Linked DNA regions of Callithrix jacchus. The protein of the gene in region 2 interacts with the protein of the main gene of each other region in a biochemical or structural test. Links are inferred from orthologs where the notes say so. Each region holds a gene or a part of one and is shown on either strand. Other genes may lie near its edges. The genes, in order: PPARG, GRIP1, THRA, CARM1 and ESR1.

Region 1 (3,523 bases), on a different chromosome or scaffold from region 2:
GTGCTAAGAGAAGTAAACTGGGTGGTACTTGACACAGAAAGACAAATACCACATGATCTCACTTAGGCATGGAATCTAAAAACGTCAAACTCATGCAAGTAGAGAGTAAAATGGTGGTTGCCAGGGGCTTGAGAGTGATTGCATAGGGAGATGTCAGCCAGAGTTTCAGTTACGCAGCATGAGTTCTGGAGACCTAAGTGTAGGTCACCTTCAGCATGGTGACTATAGTTAGTGATGCCGTATGGTATATCTGAAATTTGCTAAGACAGTAGATCTTAAGTGTTCTCACTACACATATTCATACTTTAAAAGGTATGTGAAGTGATGAGTATGGTCATTAGCTTGATGATGGTAATCATTTCACAGTAAATACATACATTAAAACATCACATTGTATACCTTGTTTTTTTGTTTTGTTTTGTTTTTGAATGGAGTCTTGCTCAGTTGCCTGGGCTGGAGTGCAGTGGTGTGATGTTGGCTCACTGCAACCTCCACCTCCTGGGTTCAAGCCATTCTCCTGCCTCAGCCTCCCAAGTGGCTGAGATTATAGGCACATGCTACCACACCCAGCCAATTTTTCTATTTTTAGTAAAGACAAGGTTTCGCCATGTTGGCCAGCCTGGTTTCAAACTCCTGACCTCAGGTGATACTCCTTCCTTGGCCTCCTAAAGTGCTGGGATTACAGGTGGGCCACCGTGCCTGGCCTGTGTGCCTTAAGTTTAAAAATTTTTGTCTATTATACTTAAATAAAGCTGGAAAAAATTTTAAATAACAGCAGTCATTAACAGACTCAATTGATGACCTTCTGTAGAAGATAATGAGAGCAGAACTGTTAGCAAGACACTTATATGAATATACTATATGTGTCTGCACTGTTTCAGGATTCTCTACTCTGATAGGTAAAGGATGACTTCCTTCCTATCATAAAACAGCCTGAGCAGCACTGAGAAGATGGTTATGTTCTTTTCTCGTTTTAAGAGCCTAGAAGAGATTACTTCGCCAAAGACTCTTTCATTTCCCTTTCTGGAACTCTGTGACATTGCTCTGTTCTCCAGGACTTAACTTCATGGCTGGTCTATTTTTCCTTTCAGAAATTACCATGGTTGACACAGAGATGCCATTCTGGCCCACCAACTTTGGGATCAGCTCCGTGGATCTCTCCGTAATGGACGACCACTCCCACTCCTTTGACATCAAGCCCTTCACTACTGTTGACTTCTCCAGCATTTCTACTCCACACTATGAAGACATTCCATTCACAAGAACAGATCCGATGGTTGCAGATTATAAGTATGACCTGAAACTTCAAGAGTACCAAAGTATGTTTATTTTCATTTTTCAGACTCCTAAGACTGGAATTGGACTAATCTCTCAGTAACCCTGTAATACTCCAGAGACTAGAACACTAATAGAGAAGGCATTCATCATTGATTTATTCACCCATTTATCCATCAAACATTAGGTATCTATGAAATGCCAGAAAGGAAGCTGGCGCCAGACCAATCTTGCCTTTCCCCCACTCTATCCTTCCTCTCTTCTTTCCTGTCTTGCTTACTTCCTTCTTAGGGACATTTTCTACCTTGATTACACTGCCATTTGTATCTCTGGCTAAGAGTCCATCATCCACGCTTTGAATTCTTTTGGCCTTTGTAAGTTAATAAGTAACAGTTCCAGGTCACCTGATATTTATTATATAACTTATCTTCACTAAATTACTGCTACTACAGTACATTTTTTTCTAATTTGTCCTTTCAGAATTTTATACTGAAACCTACTTTTGAGCACAAATTTGTCTTAACATTGTAGTCTATTGATAAATTTTCATGCCATTAACTAAATTAACATCAAAACATCAGATGCAAGAAAAACAAGAGCTGCACTTTTTGAGATAAAATGTATTTCTGTGATGCTGTTTCTTTGATTTTTATCATGTGTGGGCTGACATGCTGGTTTTCCAGAGCCACCACTATGTAACTGGCAACCATTACTTGACAATAAGTAAGAACTTCCTGTATTTCTGGTGGTTTTTAAGATAAATAATATGCTTAGTTATATTTATCTGTGTGGTTTTTAGTTAGAGCCTAATATGGAAATTTAATAGCCATGGGCCTAACTAGTAAAAGGTAGGCCGGACTTCCATTAAGTTCCCCCACCCTCTGTCAAAGATTATTTCACAAACCACGTCTTTTGACTGAACACTGATGGTAACCTGGGCTCTTATTTTTCTTGCACCTTGAAGCTAGGCATTCACAGCAGTGTTCCTTTTGTGGTTCTTTTGCAAGCACTGTTCCAAAGTACTTCTAAAATTTAATATTTAAATAAAATGTATAATTTAATATTGTGATGAATACCGAAGACAGAACATTTGCTAGCAAAATAAGCTTCCTTGTCTCAAAGCCTCTCTGTTGTCTGTTAAAGCTGTAGTATTGCAGGGTACTGGGGGTCATAGAACCACAGACTTAATTCCCGTTCCCATTTTAAATTTACAGGTGAGGCTTAGCGATGTTGTAACTTGACTGTGATTACACAGCCTTCTTTTTCTTGCCTTAACTCTAGTGTTTTTTTCATGTCCCATTGTGCTTTTATACTGAAACAATACAAATACAGCATGAAGGTGTACTATGGTGGCTTGCCCTTTTGCCTTTTTAGGACTGTTTTCATGGGATAATTATCCTCTCACGTTTCTATACACAGGTGCAATCAAAGTGGAGCCCGCATCTCCACCTTATTATTCTGAGAAGACTCAGCTCTACAGTAAGCCTCATGAAGAGGCTTCCAACTCCCTCATGGCAATCGAATGTCGTGTCTGTGGAGATAAAGCTTCTGGGTTCCACTACGGAGTTCATGCTTGTGAAGGATGCAAGGTAATTAAAAAAAAAAAAAAAATCTTTCTTCAAAGAAATCGTTGAAACCTTATTATTTCATTTGAGCAGAACCCTTTCTTTAGGTGATAAAAAATATGAATTTTTTCTTCTTAGAAAAGTGTCTTGTTCTGTCACCCAGACTGGAGTACAGTGGTACAATCAGAGCACACTGCAGCATTGAGCTCCAGGGCTAAAGTGATCCTCCCACCTCAGCCTCCCAAAGGATGATGTAATATTTGAGAGCCTAAGAAAGTGGATAAAAGCAGGGCTGCTTTACCCCACATTCCTTTCTCCAAATTGATTCTTTGAGACACTGATTTAATTTAACCCTTGCATCTTGCAGATTTTTACAAAGAGTGACTTCTCCAAGGTGTCGTGGGAAGACAGTGATGATTTGGCACCAGGATGCAGATTTCCTGCATTCCCTAGTTGTTTGTTTATTTTTTTGCTGTGCCATGTAATATTGTGTATACACAAGATTTTACAGATTATTTGTATATACATATCTTTGGATCCCTAGAGCAATCCTATAAGGTTGGGCTTCTTTATGGCCACATTACAGATGTAGAAATTATGAGTTTGTAAGACTTGCCAAGGCCATCCCTTAGTCAACGGCAGCCCTCAGTCTAGACTCTGACTCCTTAGGTGGTATTTGGTCT
Region 2 (3,523 bases):
TATTTTTACCTACTAAGACTAGTTGTTTGCTTTGTTAACATCCATTTTTAAATATTCATTTTTCATGAGAATGACAGGACACATATTGGAAGTAAAACACTTAATCACTACATCTGGGAGACCACAGTTTTGCTTTGATGAGTCTTAGCTGCCATTGAAGAAATTACAAATTGATTTAGAAAAGGTTCTCATGGAAGAAATGAGATGCTATCCTTAATTCTTTGGTTCACATCTTCAAGTAAGTAGGTGAATGTACAGCAATAAGTTTGATTGCTTTGTTTAAATGAACTTTAGGTAGCATCTAAGGAGGAACATAAAAGCTAAAACACAAATATAAAAACTAAAATAAAAAGCTAAAAAACTATTTTTAATTACCTAAGATTTGCTTTGGTCTCAAGAGTATGTGTTACCTGTTTTCACTTGCCACAATTCATAACTGTATATTATCCCTAAGGCAACCTAGAGTTCTCTATGTGACATTTAAATCTTCTTCCTATATTATGCTAAACAAAAAATAGTTAAAGCAGTGTTCATTAATCAAGAAAGGGTAAAAATACTAATAGTTAACTTTTATTGAATACTTATTGAACACTTAAGTGCCACATAATTACTAGCTCATTATAATTCCCACATTTTATAGAAGAAATATCTGATCAGAGAGGTTAAAAACTTGTCCAAGACTCATTCAAATTTTTCTCCTTTGTTAAAGCTATACATTTTTTCAGTGTTAAAGTTGAATCTAAATTATTACTAGCAATAGGGAAAATGATTAGTAAATTAATTTTCATTTGCATTTCAATTGTAATCATCTTTCATCTTAGCTAACTGTCTACATTTATTAGTATTATAATGTGCTTTAACTTTTAATGCTGGATGTAAAATTAACGGGCAAGAATCTAGCTCCAATATTTTTTTTGTATAATAGCATTTCCAATCAAGGGAATGGAATTCACTTAAATCAAAAACGAATATTCTTTGTGATAAAAGTGTAAATATGACTCTATGACTTTGCCAGTCATTCATCCTAGTTAAGGATTTAATTTCCCTTTGGCTTATAAATTCAACTTATTTGCTTTCTGCATAATAATGTCAAGGGCCACACCTGTCTGGAGCTATGTTGGAGCAAACTCACAGGCTGTGGCAACATAACTTCTATTCTTGCTGATGGATAACTCAATTTCTGGATGAAAACAGAACTCCACTGTATTACTTTTTACATCATTTTCTTTTTGCCTAATGTAAAATAAGCCATTAGAAGAATAGCTTTTCTTCAGAAGAGAAGTATTAAATTGCACAATGAAAAAGCTGGATGAGCCAAAACATGCTTCCAAAAGCAGAGCTATGTTCAAGAATTGTGAATTGTGCTCGTTATTCAGTTTGGGCCACTTTTCTTCATCATTCTACATGCAGAAGGTGGTACAGGTTTAAATAAGCCAGCTGATACTTATGCATTCTGCTCTTTTTGAAAGTTGTATAAAAAGGAATCATTGCAACATCTTACTTCGTTTAGATTTTATAGGATTATCCATGTCCAGGACCTTTAATTATGCTCTGAAGCTGCAATTCATGCCAGGTAATACTATGATGTCTACAAGTTCAAACTAATATTTTTCTTGATAATTCTCTGCAGATTCACAAACATTAGAATCACATAAAATATCCACACATGCAATTGAGAAGCAAAATAATATAAAGATGAATAATCATTTTAGAATTGCAAGAGTTTCACCCCATTATGCCATTCACATTCCTTATGGTGACTTGGGAACCTCATATGGCATCAAAATAAAAATGAGACTTTTGCCACTTTATTTTTTACAGCTCAGAAAATTTAAAAGAACATAAAAGGAAATAGTCCAGGACTTCCCAGACTAAAGTGTGAATACCATCAGCAAATTCATGGCTTTGATTAAAGAACTCACCAGGAGTTCAGCTATTACACTCCATCGCATTCTTCCTTGAATTTACACTCAGTTAACATGGATGGAATCAGGATTTTCAATTAACAGCAAAGTACTATGTAATATTTTTGCTGCTTATCAAACAGACTGGCCTTTTTCAGCAGCTGCATTGTCATCTACTTTAAGGACAAAACAAAGTAAAATAGAATTTCCTTTTATGTTCCTCTTAACGATCAAATTAATTTCTATACCAGGTACAAATGAAAACATGCCAAATAAACCTTTCTAAAGCAACTAAGAGAATGGGATGCGCCACTGCTGGGAGACTTAGCTCGCTTTTTAGCGAACTGGTGGGAAACAGAGACAGTCAGGGATAGCAGGGAGCAATGGCAGAAGCCACAAGTCAGTAAGCTCAAGGGGTGGAGATGGGGAAATAAATACTTTTGACTGCATTGTATAAAATCAAATTGCTGTCCAGAAGGCAAAAGGGTAGGGAAGGCAGCTTCACAAGCAAAAATATAAACATAAAGGGTAGCTACCAAGAGAGTCATGTTTCTCAAAGACACACGCCTGTCAGCTTTCTCCTGTGGAAAGGGGTTAAAGCTTTTAAATGAACTGGTGTGAGAAATGCAAACTTAAAAGGACCGAAAAAAATGAATGTAGAAACAATAAAAGTAAGTAGCAGGACCAAGGCTACCTCCAGTTCTCTCAGAATTCCTGACTGTCCGCAGGTTTCCAAATCTTCCAGCGCTTGAGACCAGAAGTTCTCCTCTTGTTCTGTCTCTGCACTATCAGCAGCCCCTGCAAAACTGTTGTGAAGAAACACAGACCAGCTTAGGAACTTGCTAGACATATGTGTATGGTATCCAGAATCTCTCTCCTTCACCTCACACAAAATATAGAAAGACAGTCATTTTGGATCTGGCTTTCTTCCATCTGTGTCCTCCAAGTACATGAGCTTCAGCAGAGGGACGCTTTAGGAAATGTACTGTTGTGAAGATGGAAAGGCTGGTCCGTGGTCTTACTACTGGATTTCAGACTATTTGTGGCTGCTGCTAAATAGGCTGTAGCCACATGGCCCTATTGAAATGGGATGGAACGTCAGGAATGTATTTTAGCTGCTATATCTACAAGGAAAGAGAAACCAAATTTATCTCGAAGAGGGAAACATGTTTTCCCCACTTATAAATAAACCAAATGATATCACGTTTTATAAATTTCCTTAAAACGTTTTGGTAATAAACAAAATAGTAAAATATATTTTGCTGAAAAGATAGATCCATGATATATGTTTAAAAAAAATGTAACTTAATGTGAAACTAACTTTTAAAAGAAAGGAAAGGAGCCAGATGGGGTGGCTCATGCCTGTAATCCCAGCACTTTGGGAGGCCTAGGTGGGCAGACAACTTGAAGAAGGGAGTTTGAGACCAGACTGGCCAACATGGTAAAACCCCATCTCTATTAAAAATACAAAAATTAGCCAGGTGTGGTGGCAGGCACCTGTAATCCCAGCTACTGGGGGCGGGGATGATAAGGGGGGAGAATCACTTGAACCTGGTATGCACAGGTGGCAGTGAGCTGAGATCACACCAATGAACTGTAGCTTGGGTGACAGAGTGAGA
Region 3 (3,523 bases), on a different chromosome or scaffold from region 2:
GTGACAGAGATTTAGCCTGGAAGAAGATTCAGGAGGGAGTTGAGTACCAGGTGGGGCTCCAGCCAATCTCTGGGACCCCTGGAAGCTTCTGAGCCCTCCCGGCCAATCAGCAGGTACCTGTTGACATTAGCAGCACAGCCTGCAGCAGAGCCACTTCCGTGTCATCCAGGTTAAAGGCAGAGAGTGACTTGCCCAGTTCAAAGATGGCGTCGGAGACTACGCCCAGGCCACCATTCTTGAGCTGCTCCCGCTTGACGGCCATCTCCCCACTCAGCGTCAGTGTGTCGCTCTCAGGGTCATAGCGGACAGCTGCCCGCAGGGACATGATCTCCATGCAGCACCCCTTCAGGAGGATGATCTGGTCTTCGCAAGGCAGCTGTGGAGCAGCAGGGCCACAGGAGCACTCAGCACACCCCTCCCCGCGTCCCTGAGTCTCCATGGAGTGTCCTCCAGGGGCCGTGAGGCTGGTGAGGCCCATATCGACCTCAGCCAATAGCATGGACTCTGAACAGCTGACCCTGTGTTAGGCCACGTGCATGCACTATTTCATTTAAGCCTCACAATTATATGTGTGAGGCCGGGTGCAGTGGCTCGCATTTGTAATCCCAGCACTTTGGAAGGCCAAGGCAGGCAAATAACTTGAGGTCAGGAGTTTGAGACTAGCCTGGCCAGCATACATGGTAAAACCCTATCTCTACTAAAAATACAAAATTAGTCAGGTGTGGTAGCATACACCTGTAGTCACAGCTACTCAGGAGGCTAAGGCAGGAGAATCACCTGAACCCAGGAGGTGGAGGTTGCAGTGAGCCAAGATAGCGTCACTGCATTCCAGCCTGGGCAACAGAACCAGATTCCATTTCAAAAAAGAAAAAATAAATAAATTATGCCTGTGAGTTAGCACCCATCATCACGCCCAGCCCACACTAGATGGGAACACTGAGGCGCAGGGGATGGAGGTAACTTGTCCCAGGTCACAGGGCTGGTAGGGCAGCCCGTTTCCAGCACTAGTGCTCTGGAAAATGAGAACTTTCAGATTGCCTGGAGCTGGGTGGCCGCATAGATTTGAGGGATGAGGGGCTGCAGAGAGGGGCACTTGCAGCCAGCTGGTTTCTTAGAGCAGCTAGACCTTGGTGTGTGTCTCTGTGTGTGTTGTGTGTATGGGAGTGCTGGGAGGGTGTGTGTCTATGTATTTGTGTATGTGTCTGTGTGCTAGGTGTGTGTCTCCACGTGTGTGCCTGTGTGCTGTGTGTGAATGTGTGTGTGTGTGGCTGTGTATGTATCTGTGTGTCTGCGCTGAGTGTGTGTCTGTGTGTCAGTGTGCTAGGTGTGTGTCTGTGTGCTAGGTGTGTATCTGTGTATGCATCTGTGTGTGTGCCTGTGTGCTGTGTGTTTGTGTCTGTGTGTGTCTGTGTCTGTGCTAGGGGTGTGTGTATGTGTCTGTGTGCTGGGTGTATGTATCTGTGTGTGTGTATGCTGGGTGTGTCTGTGTGTGTGCCTGTGTGCTGGGTATGTGTCTATGTGTGTATGTGTTTGTGCATGTGTCTGTGCTAGGTGTGTGTGTGTGTGTATGTCTGTGTATGCATTTGTGTGCTAGGTGTGTGTGTGTCTATGTTGTGTCTGTGTGCTGCGTGTGTGTGTATCTGTGTGTGTGTGTGTGTGTGTGTGTATGTATCTGTACGTGTGCCTGTGTGCTGGGTATGTGTTGATGTACAGGAATTGCTCCTTGTCCAGAGAACCTCAGATGAGCTTGTACTGGGTGACCAGGGGAGCAGGTTTCCCTCCAGCACACGATGTCTCTCCTCCCTGCTGCCACTCACCTCGGAGAACATGGGCAGTTTTTTGGCAAAGTCCACCACACGGGTGATGGCTGGGGTGATGATCTTGGTAAACTCGCTGAAGGCTTCCAGGTCCACCTTGTCTCCATCCGGCATGGAGACAATGGGTGACTGGCCAATGTCCTCAGGCTAGAGAGAAAGACAGGGGTCAGCTGGGGCCGCAGCCCCCTTTCAGCCGCTAACTGAGGCCCCCCTGCCCACCAGGGGGAGCTCCAAGGCAGCTTGGGGAAGAGGGGCCATCAGTGCCTGAGTCCCAGCCCCAAAGCTTTTTCCTTCACCTAGAGCAGAGCCAGAGCTCCAAGTCAGCTGATAATACCAATGGCAATAACAGTAGTAGCAGCTACAATGGCTGAATACTTAATATGTGATCAGGCATCAGGCTGCATGCTTTATATGCCTTATCTCATTTCATCCTGACCGCAATCCTAAAAGGAATAATTATGATAATCACCATTTCACAGATGTGGAAACTGTGCATGGGGCAGCTAAGTAATAAGGCGAAAGTCCTATGACTAGCAGGTGGTAGGACCAGGGTTTGAACTCAGGCAGTCTGACTCCTGACTGCCACGTTGCTTGGAATCAGTGCACCCTTAACAGTTCACTGTGCCACCCCTGACATGCTCCACCAGGAACCAGGAGCCAGGACCCAGGTTTCTGCCTTCCTTCACCATACAGAGCCAACTGTCCATCTCCTGCCAAACTGACCATTTCTTTTTGAGACAGGGTATTGCTCGGTTTTCTGGGCTGGAGTGTAGTGGTATGATGATGGCTTACTGCAGCCTTGACCTCCCGTGCTTAGTGGATCCTCCTGCCTCAGCCTCCTGAGTAGCTGGGACTACAGGCATGTACCACCACACCCAGCTAATTTAAAAATTATTCGCCTTTTGGCCGGAACCGCCATCTTCCAGTAATTCGCCAAAATGACGAACACAAAGGGAAAGAGGAGAGGCACTCGATACATGTTCTCTAGGCCTTTTCGAAAACATGGAGTTGTTCCTTTGGCCACATATATGCGAATCTATAAGAAAGGTGATATTGTAGACATCAAGGGAATGGGTACTGTTCAAAAAGGAATGCCCCACAAATGTTATCATGGCAAAACTGGAAGAGTCTACGATGTTACCCAGCATGCTGTTGGCATTGTTGTAAACAAACAAGTTAAGGGCAAGATTCTTGCCAAGAGAATTAATGTGCGTATTGAGCACATCAAGCACTCTAAGAGCCGAGATAGCTTCCTAAAACATGTGAAGGAAAATGATCAGAAAAAGAAGGAAGCCAAAGAGAAAGGTACCTGGGTCCAACTGAAGCGACAGCCTGCTCCACCCAGAGAAGCACACTTTGTGAGAACCAATGGGAAGGAGCCTGAGCTGCTGGAACCTATTCCCTATGAATTCATGGCATAATAGGTGTTAAAAAAAAATAAAAGACTTCTGGACTGTATATAAAAAAAAAATTATTCATAGAGGCCAAGCATGGTGGCTCACACCTGTAATCCCAGCACTTTGGGAGGCTGAGGTGGGTGGATCACTTGAGGTAAGGAGTTCAAGACCACCTTGGCCAACATGGTGAAACCCCTGTCTCTACTAAAAATATAAAAATTAGCCAGGCATGGTGACGGACACCTGTGATCTCAGCTACTTGAGAGACAGGTGGGAGAATTGCTTGAACCCGGGAGGCGGAGGTTACAG
Region 4 (3,488 bases), on a different chromosome or scaffold from region 2:
CACACACACACACCCCGAACCCAGTGTCTTGATCTGAGATAGGCTCTCACTCCCACTGGAAGGGATGGTGGGACCTGGAGCCACGTTCCACCCTCCTAGCTCCCAGCCAGGTCGTAGCTGCAGGAAGCCCTGGGTGGGGCAGGGGAGGGGGGCAGCACGGGCTGCTCTGCTCTGTGGCACTCACATGGAGCCGATGAAAGCAACGTCAAACCAGAAAGCCAGGCCATGGACCAGCCCTGAATGCAGCATGTGGAATTTGAATGGGATTTCTATCCTGGAAGGCAAAGGGCAGTGGCTGCTGGGGAAGCCAGGCAGGCGCTGCCGAGAGAGAAGAGGGGGTGCCAGGTGCAGAGGCCCGGGGCCCCCGCCCACCACCTGCCCTGGGACGGCAGGATGCCGGCGGGAGCCAGGGGTAGCCCTGACCTTTGGCCTGAGCCAGACCTGGGAGGATGGAGTGTGGGTGCTGGTACCTGTGCAAATCTCCTTCTTTGGCTTCTAAGAAGTTCACTGTGTACTTGACGGACTTGGCCATCAGGATCCGGATGTCAAATGTGTCCTGGGAGAAAACACCGATGTGACCATCTGGTGCCAGGGCCAGCGTGGAAGAAGAGAGCCCTGCCCCTTACCCCAGGTCTGGCCACCGCCTCTAGGCTGTGCAGCTAAAACTAGCTTGTCCTCAGACACCCTGCGAGGAGGGCAAACCGGCACAACGCCACCGAGGGCAATTAGGTGGCAGCTTTCAAAATAACAAGTGTTTATTCACATACAAGATTTGGCACTACAGGAGTTTAACTTCCAGATACATGAACACATCAACAAACTTCTATGGATAATTACAGACTGTCCGTGGCAGTGGCACACTGGAAACCATCTAATTAAACCAATGATGGCCCACCCATCGAAGACCATGTGGATGTGAGAAAGAATGAAGAGGCTCTTTATGAACAGGTGGGGGAAGATCCCCACGCTAAATCATTAAGCAAGTTAACAAAAAAAGCAAGTTAAAGAACTAGTTGCTACCAGGTGTGGTGGTGCGTGCTTATAACTCCAGCTCCTCAGGAGGCTGAGGCGGGATGATCGCTTAAGCCTGAGTGTGAATCAAACCTGGGAAACGTAGGGAGACCCTGTCTCTAAAACAACAACGCTGGTGCTGATGTCCACTCCCAGTGATGTTTATATCCGACGAATGCACCTGCTGTGAACTATGTGAACCAAGTAAAATACAAAGAAAAGACTGAACCAGTTGTTGGAAGCACCAAGGACCAACCAGAGCAGCCAAGACTTTGGGGATCAAGCTTCCGGAAAGGAAGGAAATGCCCTTTCTGGCTTCTGCCTTTTTCCCAGGGGGAGGGCAGAAAATGGCCACCTCAATGTTTCAGCAGCTTCCCTGGGTGGGGAAAGCAAAATGGGAGCTCATGGTTATCATGGCAGCTCAGACTCAAGGGGCTGCAATGTCAAAGCAAAGGGAAGTAAGTGCAGGAGGGCGAGGTGGGCAGTACGCACTCAATGCGCCTGTGAAATTGGCCAACTCCTGAGCTTTGAGCGGGGCGGGGCATCAGAGGATAAGACACCAAGCGGAAGGCTGCTTGTAAGAGGCTCAAGGCCAGGCGTGGCAGCTTACGCCTGTAATCCCAGCACTTTGAAAGGCGGAGGGGTCGGATCACCTGAGGTCAGGAATTCAAGACTAGCCTGGGTAACATAGTGAGAGCTCATGTCTACAAAAAATAAAATTAGCTGGGCATGGTGGTGCACTCCTGTAGTTCCAGCTACTTGGGAGGCTGAGGCAGGAGGATCACTTGTGTCTAGGAGGTCAAGGCTACAGTAAGCCATGGCGTGAATCAGCCATTACACTCCAGCCTGGGCAACAGAGTGAGAACCTGGTTCAAAAAAAAATACAAAAAAAAGGTAAGGGGAGGTTCAGAAGCATATTGGTAATGAGGCTAACCACTGGACTTGCATTAAGATTACTGAAGGCAGTAGGCCAGGCGCCGTGGCTCACGCCTGTAATCCCAGCACTTTGGGAGGCTGAGGCAGGTGGATCACAAGGACAGGAGTTTGAGACCAGCCTGGCCAAAACTGTGAAATCCCATCTCTACTAAAAATACAAAAATTTGCCAGGCACGGTAGCGGGTGCATGTAGTCCCAGCTAGTCAGGAGGCTGAGGTGGAAGAATCACTTGAACCGGGGAGGCAGAGGTTGCAGTAGCCAAGATTGTTCCATTGCACTCCAATCTAAGACTCCGTCTCAAAAAAAAAAAAAAATTACCAAAGTTCATACCCTAAAGTGGCAGTTTCTCAAATTGTGGTCCCTTCCAGGGCACCCTCTTAATAATACAACATTTTCATAATAACACCAAAATATTTCCAGCTTTTTTCATTCATTCACTCCCCGAGGCAGATGGATCACCTGAGGTTAGGAATTCAAGACCAGTGTGGCCAACATGGTGAAACCTCGTCTCTATTAAAAACACAATAATTAGCTGGGTGTGGTGGTGGACACCTGTAATCCCAGCTACTTGGGAGGCTGAGGTGGGAGAATCACTTTAACCCAGGAGGCGGAGGTTGCAGTGAGCTGAGATCACATCACTGTACTCCACGCTGGGCAACAGAGCGAGACTCCATCTCAAAAAAAAAAAAAAAAAAAGGAAAAAACCAAAAGCTCAATAGGATCCTCAATATTTGAGTGTGTAAAGGGGTCCTGAGACCAAAATATTTGAGAACAGTTGCCATATGGGGAATCCAGGAAAGAGATCAGCCACTGGAGTCTGAAAAGCAGGTCAAAGTATCTCAGGTGCCCGACAGGACCAAGGTGACCTCTCCATTTGTGAGGTGCCTGAAGAAAAATCCTTGGAAGGAAAAGCATCATTCAGTGCCTGCATGGTTTTTCATTCTGGCATCCAATGATCAGGCACAGCAAGAGACAAGAACAAAGGACCAGAGCCCAAAACCAAGAGACTAAACAGATGAAAACATACCTTCCACTCCTCCAGATAGTGAAAGTCACCAGCGACTTAGAACTAGCATGTACAAAATAATAGTATAAAAGAAAAGAAAAGAAAAATCTCATACAGAACTGTCTGGGCGCAGTGGCTTACACCTAGAATCCCAGCACTTTGGGAGGCCGAGGCAGGTGGATCACGAGGTCAAGAGATCGAGACTATACTGGCCAACAAGGTGAAACCCCGTCTCTACTAAAAATACAGAAATTAGCTGGGCATGGTGGTGCGCGCCTGTAGTCCCAGCTACTTGGGAGGCTGAGGCAGGAGAATTGCATGAACCCAGGAGGCAGAGGTTGCTGTGAGCTGAGATCGTGCCACTGCACTCCAGCCTGGTGCCTGGCGCCTGGCGCCTGGCACCTGGCACCTGGCGATGGAGTGAGTCTCTGTCTCAAAAAAAAAAAAAAGAAAACTGAACTGTGCAGCTGGGACAGAAGTAGGGAAGCTTTTCTCTTCTATACGCCTTTGATTTTTTTCAACGAGTATCACAGGA
Region 5 (3,957 bases), on a different chromosome or scaffold from region 2:
ATGATCAGATGTTCATAAACTCCTAGCAGCTTTGGTGCTGATCTTGAATTATTTCATTTATTCAACCAACATGTATTGAATAACAGGCACTGTGATAGGCTTAGAGTAGAAATAACTTCCTCATATTGAGTTTCTAATGTTTAGAGACTGCAAGGAGTTTAATGAGTGGTTTAATCTCATTTACTCCATATAATTCTCTCTGGTAGCTACTGTTAGTACTCCAACTTTGCAGATGAGAAATTTAATGATGGAGGTGACATAATCTGCCTCTAATTGCACAGCTAGAGAGTGGTGGGAGCTATGACTGGGTACTCAGTCATTTTTCCATGGATTTGAATTGAACCACTTAATAGAATTCTCACCGAAGAGTGATGTGCTGTGGAAAACCTGAGCAGAGGTATCAGCTTTCTAGCAGAATATTTTAAGGGGCAGGTGAGTAGGGTAAGCCCCTTCATTCTCTGAAACAATCACAGACTTTCAGTGAGAAAAATGTTATATGCCTTAGATAGAACCATAAAACTCACTGATGTGCATGTTTTTGCTGTTGTGTCCAGTGGGAATGATTCAGAGGAAGTCTAATGAGATGTTGCCCAGAAGGCAGGCACACATCATCAGTCTTACCTGTACAGTGCCTGCCTTTGAAAAGAGCACTTTATTTGATAATATGCAGGAGGCTTCACAGATAGCACCTCTTTCTCAGAGATCAACAATGGAGACTCTATCCTGATAGAGGCAGATGGACAGGACCATGTCGCCACTGCCATAGATGAATCCTATGCTATGAGTTTATTTTGTTTATTTTATTTTGTTTATTTTATTTTTTACCAGCAGTGTGGATGGTCTACTGAGAGCTGGGTCACTCTTTTCCTTGCCCTTTTTTCCAAATAGCCAATCTGGAGTCATGAAGCAGAGCTGTTCCCTATTCAAAGCAAAGTAAACTCAACCACCAGGCCCTCAACTCAAGCAACTGTTCTGACCAACTAGGATAAATGAGTGCAGCTAGACTAAGAGAAGACCTGCAGACAACCATGTGAACTTGTTTGGCAGACACCTGATGTACATCGTTATGCTGTGTGGAGGTTTAGAGTGAGTGTTTGAAGGGAAGGTGGGTGGTAGCTAGCTCTAAACCCAATACTGAACAAAGACAAGAGTTCTCAGAAACAAAAGATAGTTTGACTTTTCTTGCTGCAAGTTTAAGACCCAAACATTGTATTCCTTTCCTTGACTGTCATGAGCAATAAAACAAAACAAATATCTCCAAGTGTCCAAGAAAAATCTTCTGCTTGTAAATACGACCCTTGTGTTCTTAATGAAAATTCTGCTGTTTTCCTACATCATGCCTTTTACCTACATTGTTTTTATTTCTAATTTCCTTGAAAATCTAACATTCTAGATTATTTTATCCAACCGCTACGGCATTATCTGCATGCATTTCACAGCCCAGTCGGCGGTCTTCACAGGACATTAACAAAATCAAAGAAAACATTTGCTTTTAAGAACTAGGAGGGGATTTTATGGTATCGAAATGAACCCTGAACCGTGGACCTCAAACATTCTCACCCAATTTAAATTCTCTGTACATTTCAGAATTCAGTTCAAACACTTCTGCCTGGTCTTCCTAAGTTTACTCTCAACATTAAAATATGTATATACCACATTCAAAACTGGATGAGTTTCCCAGCAGCCTCATATACATAGAGTTGCTCTGTAAGCCTATTAGATCTGACACATAAAGGCGTTAAAAATCTGGCACCTTTAAGCAGGAACCATTGCCATGATCACAAGTCCTGATAAAGCCCAACCCTTCTATCAAGTAAATTGCTTTAAAATGTTTTAATCACGTCGGCTCCTATGGACTTGAGAGAATACTGGTTATCTTCTTGACAAAGCATGAAACTTACAGTTCAACGAGCATTTCCTAAGACATGTGGCATGCCTCTGACCAAAATGAAAGTATTCTGCCCTGTCTTGTGACTGCCACATCATTACCCGAGTAGCCCACTGCTATATGTGGTGAAGTCATTATGCGTGTGCCTTTGAGAGGCAAAAAGGAACCGAGAAAATGGGACACCAGGACTCAAAAGAACTTGCTTAAAATCAGAGGCCAATTTCAAGACAGAATCGTTCATTCTTGTGCTGCTGGACGTGTAGCTTTTCAGAAAACTTGACTGCCTTTAGGAAACAAATAATGGATCATTCACATCTTTTAGTTCAAACTCATATAAGTTATGGCTCCAAAGATTAAGAAAACAGGTAATGTGTTCCTGCTAGTCTGAGATTTCTCTAATTAAGAACTTTTAAAATTCTAACACAGCTCAACAACACGGTGTCTCCTAGCTAGTGCTGGATCCGATAGATATATGTTATCTGGAGCAGACAGGCAGCCTGTGTGTGCTGTACTAAGAACAGGGTAGTCGGATTGCCCTCTGCCTCAGCTAAATATTATTCTAGAAGTGAATTTCCACTGTACCAAGTTTAGATTTCACATTTTATCATCCTAGGAATACTTGCCAGTAAGTTTGCAAAATATCCTTGGAGCAGAAAGAGGAAAAAAATGAACATTTTTTAAAGATGAGACGTAAGCTCTGAAGTTACAATATGCTTGTAAACAGTAGCACATTATATCAAAAAGGAAAAAATAAATTGAGAAGAAATAGGAGTACCTACTTGAAGAGAAGATTATCACTCAGAGACTGTCTTCTTATGCTATAGAATGGGCAGGAGAAAGGAGCATGGACCTTTCGAGCCTGTTAAAGAGCTTCTGAGCATGGAGCCTGCATTTTCAGTTTTGGTAAAATCCGTTCTGACTCGGTAGACAGGAGGCTGTTATGACCATGAAATTAGGAAATGCAGTAACTCAAAAATAAAGAACTAGCACCACCATTTGACTAGGATTGGAAAATCTCATTGAAAACATAGAGGAGGGGGTGGCCTTGCTTTCTCCAAGCCCGGCTTGAATCTAACTTTCTTAGCACTTCCACTAAAATGGATGTTCAAAAAGAGGTAAATCATGTGTTAATCTGCCTGAAATTTTTTTACGCCCTCCAGCCGATTTTTCTCTTTATTCCTAATAAAGCTCAAAGTCTAGACAGGCGTGTGGGGCTGGAAAAAAAAATAAAACATTCATTCAGCACATAAATTTTGTTAATCCAAAGTTAGCTAGAGCTAAACTAAAAGCAGGGGTAAGGAAATGTCTTCTGTTAGTGTTATTTGGGAATTTCTTACTCAGGCATGGACTCAAAAGCCGGCTCTGCACTTCCTGTTACTGATTAATTAGGTTCTTGACTTCGGTAACCTGCACAGGTCTAGCTCCTTACGCTCTTTGGTCCTTAATTTCTGTCGCATGATCCTTCCATAAACTGTCCGGTATTTCCTGCAGCAATTTTTAAATTTATGTGGTTATTGATTGTTTGTTTAACACTAAGATACACATTTTAAAGTAGAAAAAGGGCTGTAAAATCATATTAAAATTTTTTAATAACATTGAAATTTTAATATCTCATCATGTCTGCTGTGGTTTATGCAGTATGTACTTTCAATGATTTTTTAAAAATATTTTCGCTTTTTCTTCTTTACAAGTCTTGAAAAAGGCTGGTTTTCTGGAAGTGAGAATGATAGAGGGGGCAGAGGAGGAATCTCTCTCTTGCTATTGTATTGCTCTCTGTCCCAGTACCCAGTACAGAGTGACGTCTGCCAAGTAAGCTACACCTCAAAACTGTCATGGGAAGGAAGGAAAACCAAAAGAAATAATCAATGCTTTAAAACATTTTGAAATAAATGATCTTAACTGTCTTCAATCTTCTCTATACTTGTCAGTTAGCCCATAAAATAATTTGAATATGTTAATTTGCCTGAGAGAAGCTTCTCCAGAATACAGAGAGCAGGACACATTTTAGTTAGTATGTAAAGTATTTAATTTCAAGTGACTGAACATAAAATCTCAACAAGATTCACTTA

The links.
Region 1: the proteins of GRIP1 (region 2) and PPARG form a complex in vitro, tested with the Homo sapiens proteins (2 studies listed by BioGRID). The link is inferred for Callithrix jacchus from reciprocal best matches to the Homo sapiens genes GRIP1 and PPARG.
Region 3: the proteins of GRIP1 (region 2) and THRA form a complex in vitro, tested with the Homo sapiens proteins (2 studies listed by BioGRID). The link is inferred for Callithrix jacchus from reciprocal best matches to the Homo sapiens genes GRIP1 and THRA.
Region 4: the proteins of GRIP1 (region 2) and CARM1 form a complex in vitro, tested with the Homo sapiens proteins (2 studies listed by BioGRID). The link is inferred for Callithrix jacchus from reciprocal best matches to the Homo sapiens genes GRIP1 and CARM1.
Region 5: the proteins of GRIP1 (region 2) and ESR1 form a complex in vitro, tested with the Homo sapiens proteins (2 studies listed by BioGRID and IntAct). The link is inferred for Callithrix jacchus from reciprocal best matches to the Homo sapiens genes GRIP1 and ESR1.

Annotation. Positions count from the first base shown.
Region 1 is NC_133516.1:69,544,513-69,548,035, forward strand, and holds part of PPARG (peroxisome proliferator-activated receptor gamma), read left to right. Parts: intron 1-1,091; coding exon 1,092-1,319; intron 1,320-2,694; coding exon 2,695-2,864; intron 2,865-3,523. UniProt on the Homo sapiens protein: Nuclear receptor that binds peroxisome proliferators such as hypolipidemic drugs and fatty acids.
Region 2 is NC_133510.1:52,843,164-52,846,686, reverse strand, and holds part of GRIP1 (glutamate receptor-interacting protein 1), read right to left. Parts: intron 2,711-3,523; coding exon 2,599-2,710; intron 2,486-2,598; coding exon 2,441-2,485; intron 1-2,440. UniProt on the Homo sapiens protein: May play a role as a localized scaffold for the assembly of a multiprotein signaling complex and as mediator of the trafficking of its binding partners at specific subcellular location in neurons.
Region 3 is NC_133506.1:71,696,320-71,699,842, reverse strand, and holds part of THRA (thyroid hormone receptor alpha), read right to left. Parts: intron 3,287-3,523; exon of another isoform or gene 2,726-3,286; intron 1,965-2,725; coding exon 1,818-1,964; intron 377-1,817; coding exon 118-376; intron 1-117.
Region 4 is NC_133523.1:10,086,032-10,089,519, reverse strand, and holds part of CARM1 (histone-arginine methyltransferase CARM1), read right to left. Parts: intron 557-3,488; coding exon 471-556; intron 275-470; coding exon 185-274; intron 1-184. UniProt on the Homo sapiens protein: Methylates (mono- and asymmetric dimethylation) the guanidino nitrogens of arginyl residues in several proteins involved in DNA packaging, transcription regulation, pre-mRNA splicing, and mRNA stability.
Region 5 is NC_133505.1:158,537,519-158,541,475, reverse strand, and holds the start of ESR1 (estrogen receptor), read right to left. Parts: upstream 2,801-3,957; 5' UTR 2,668-2,800; intron 1-2,667.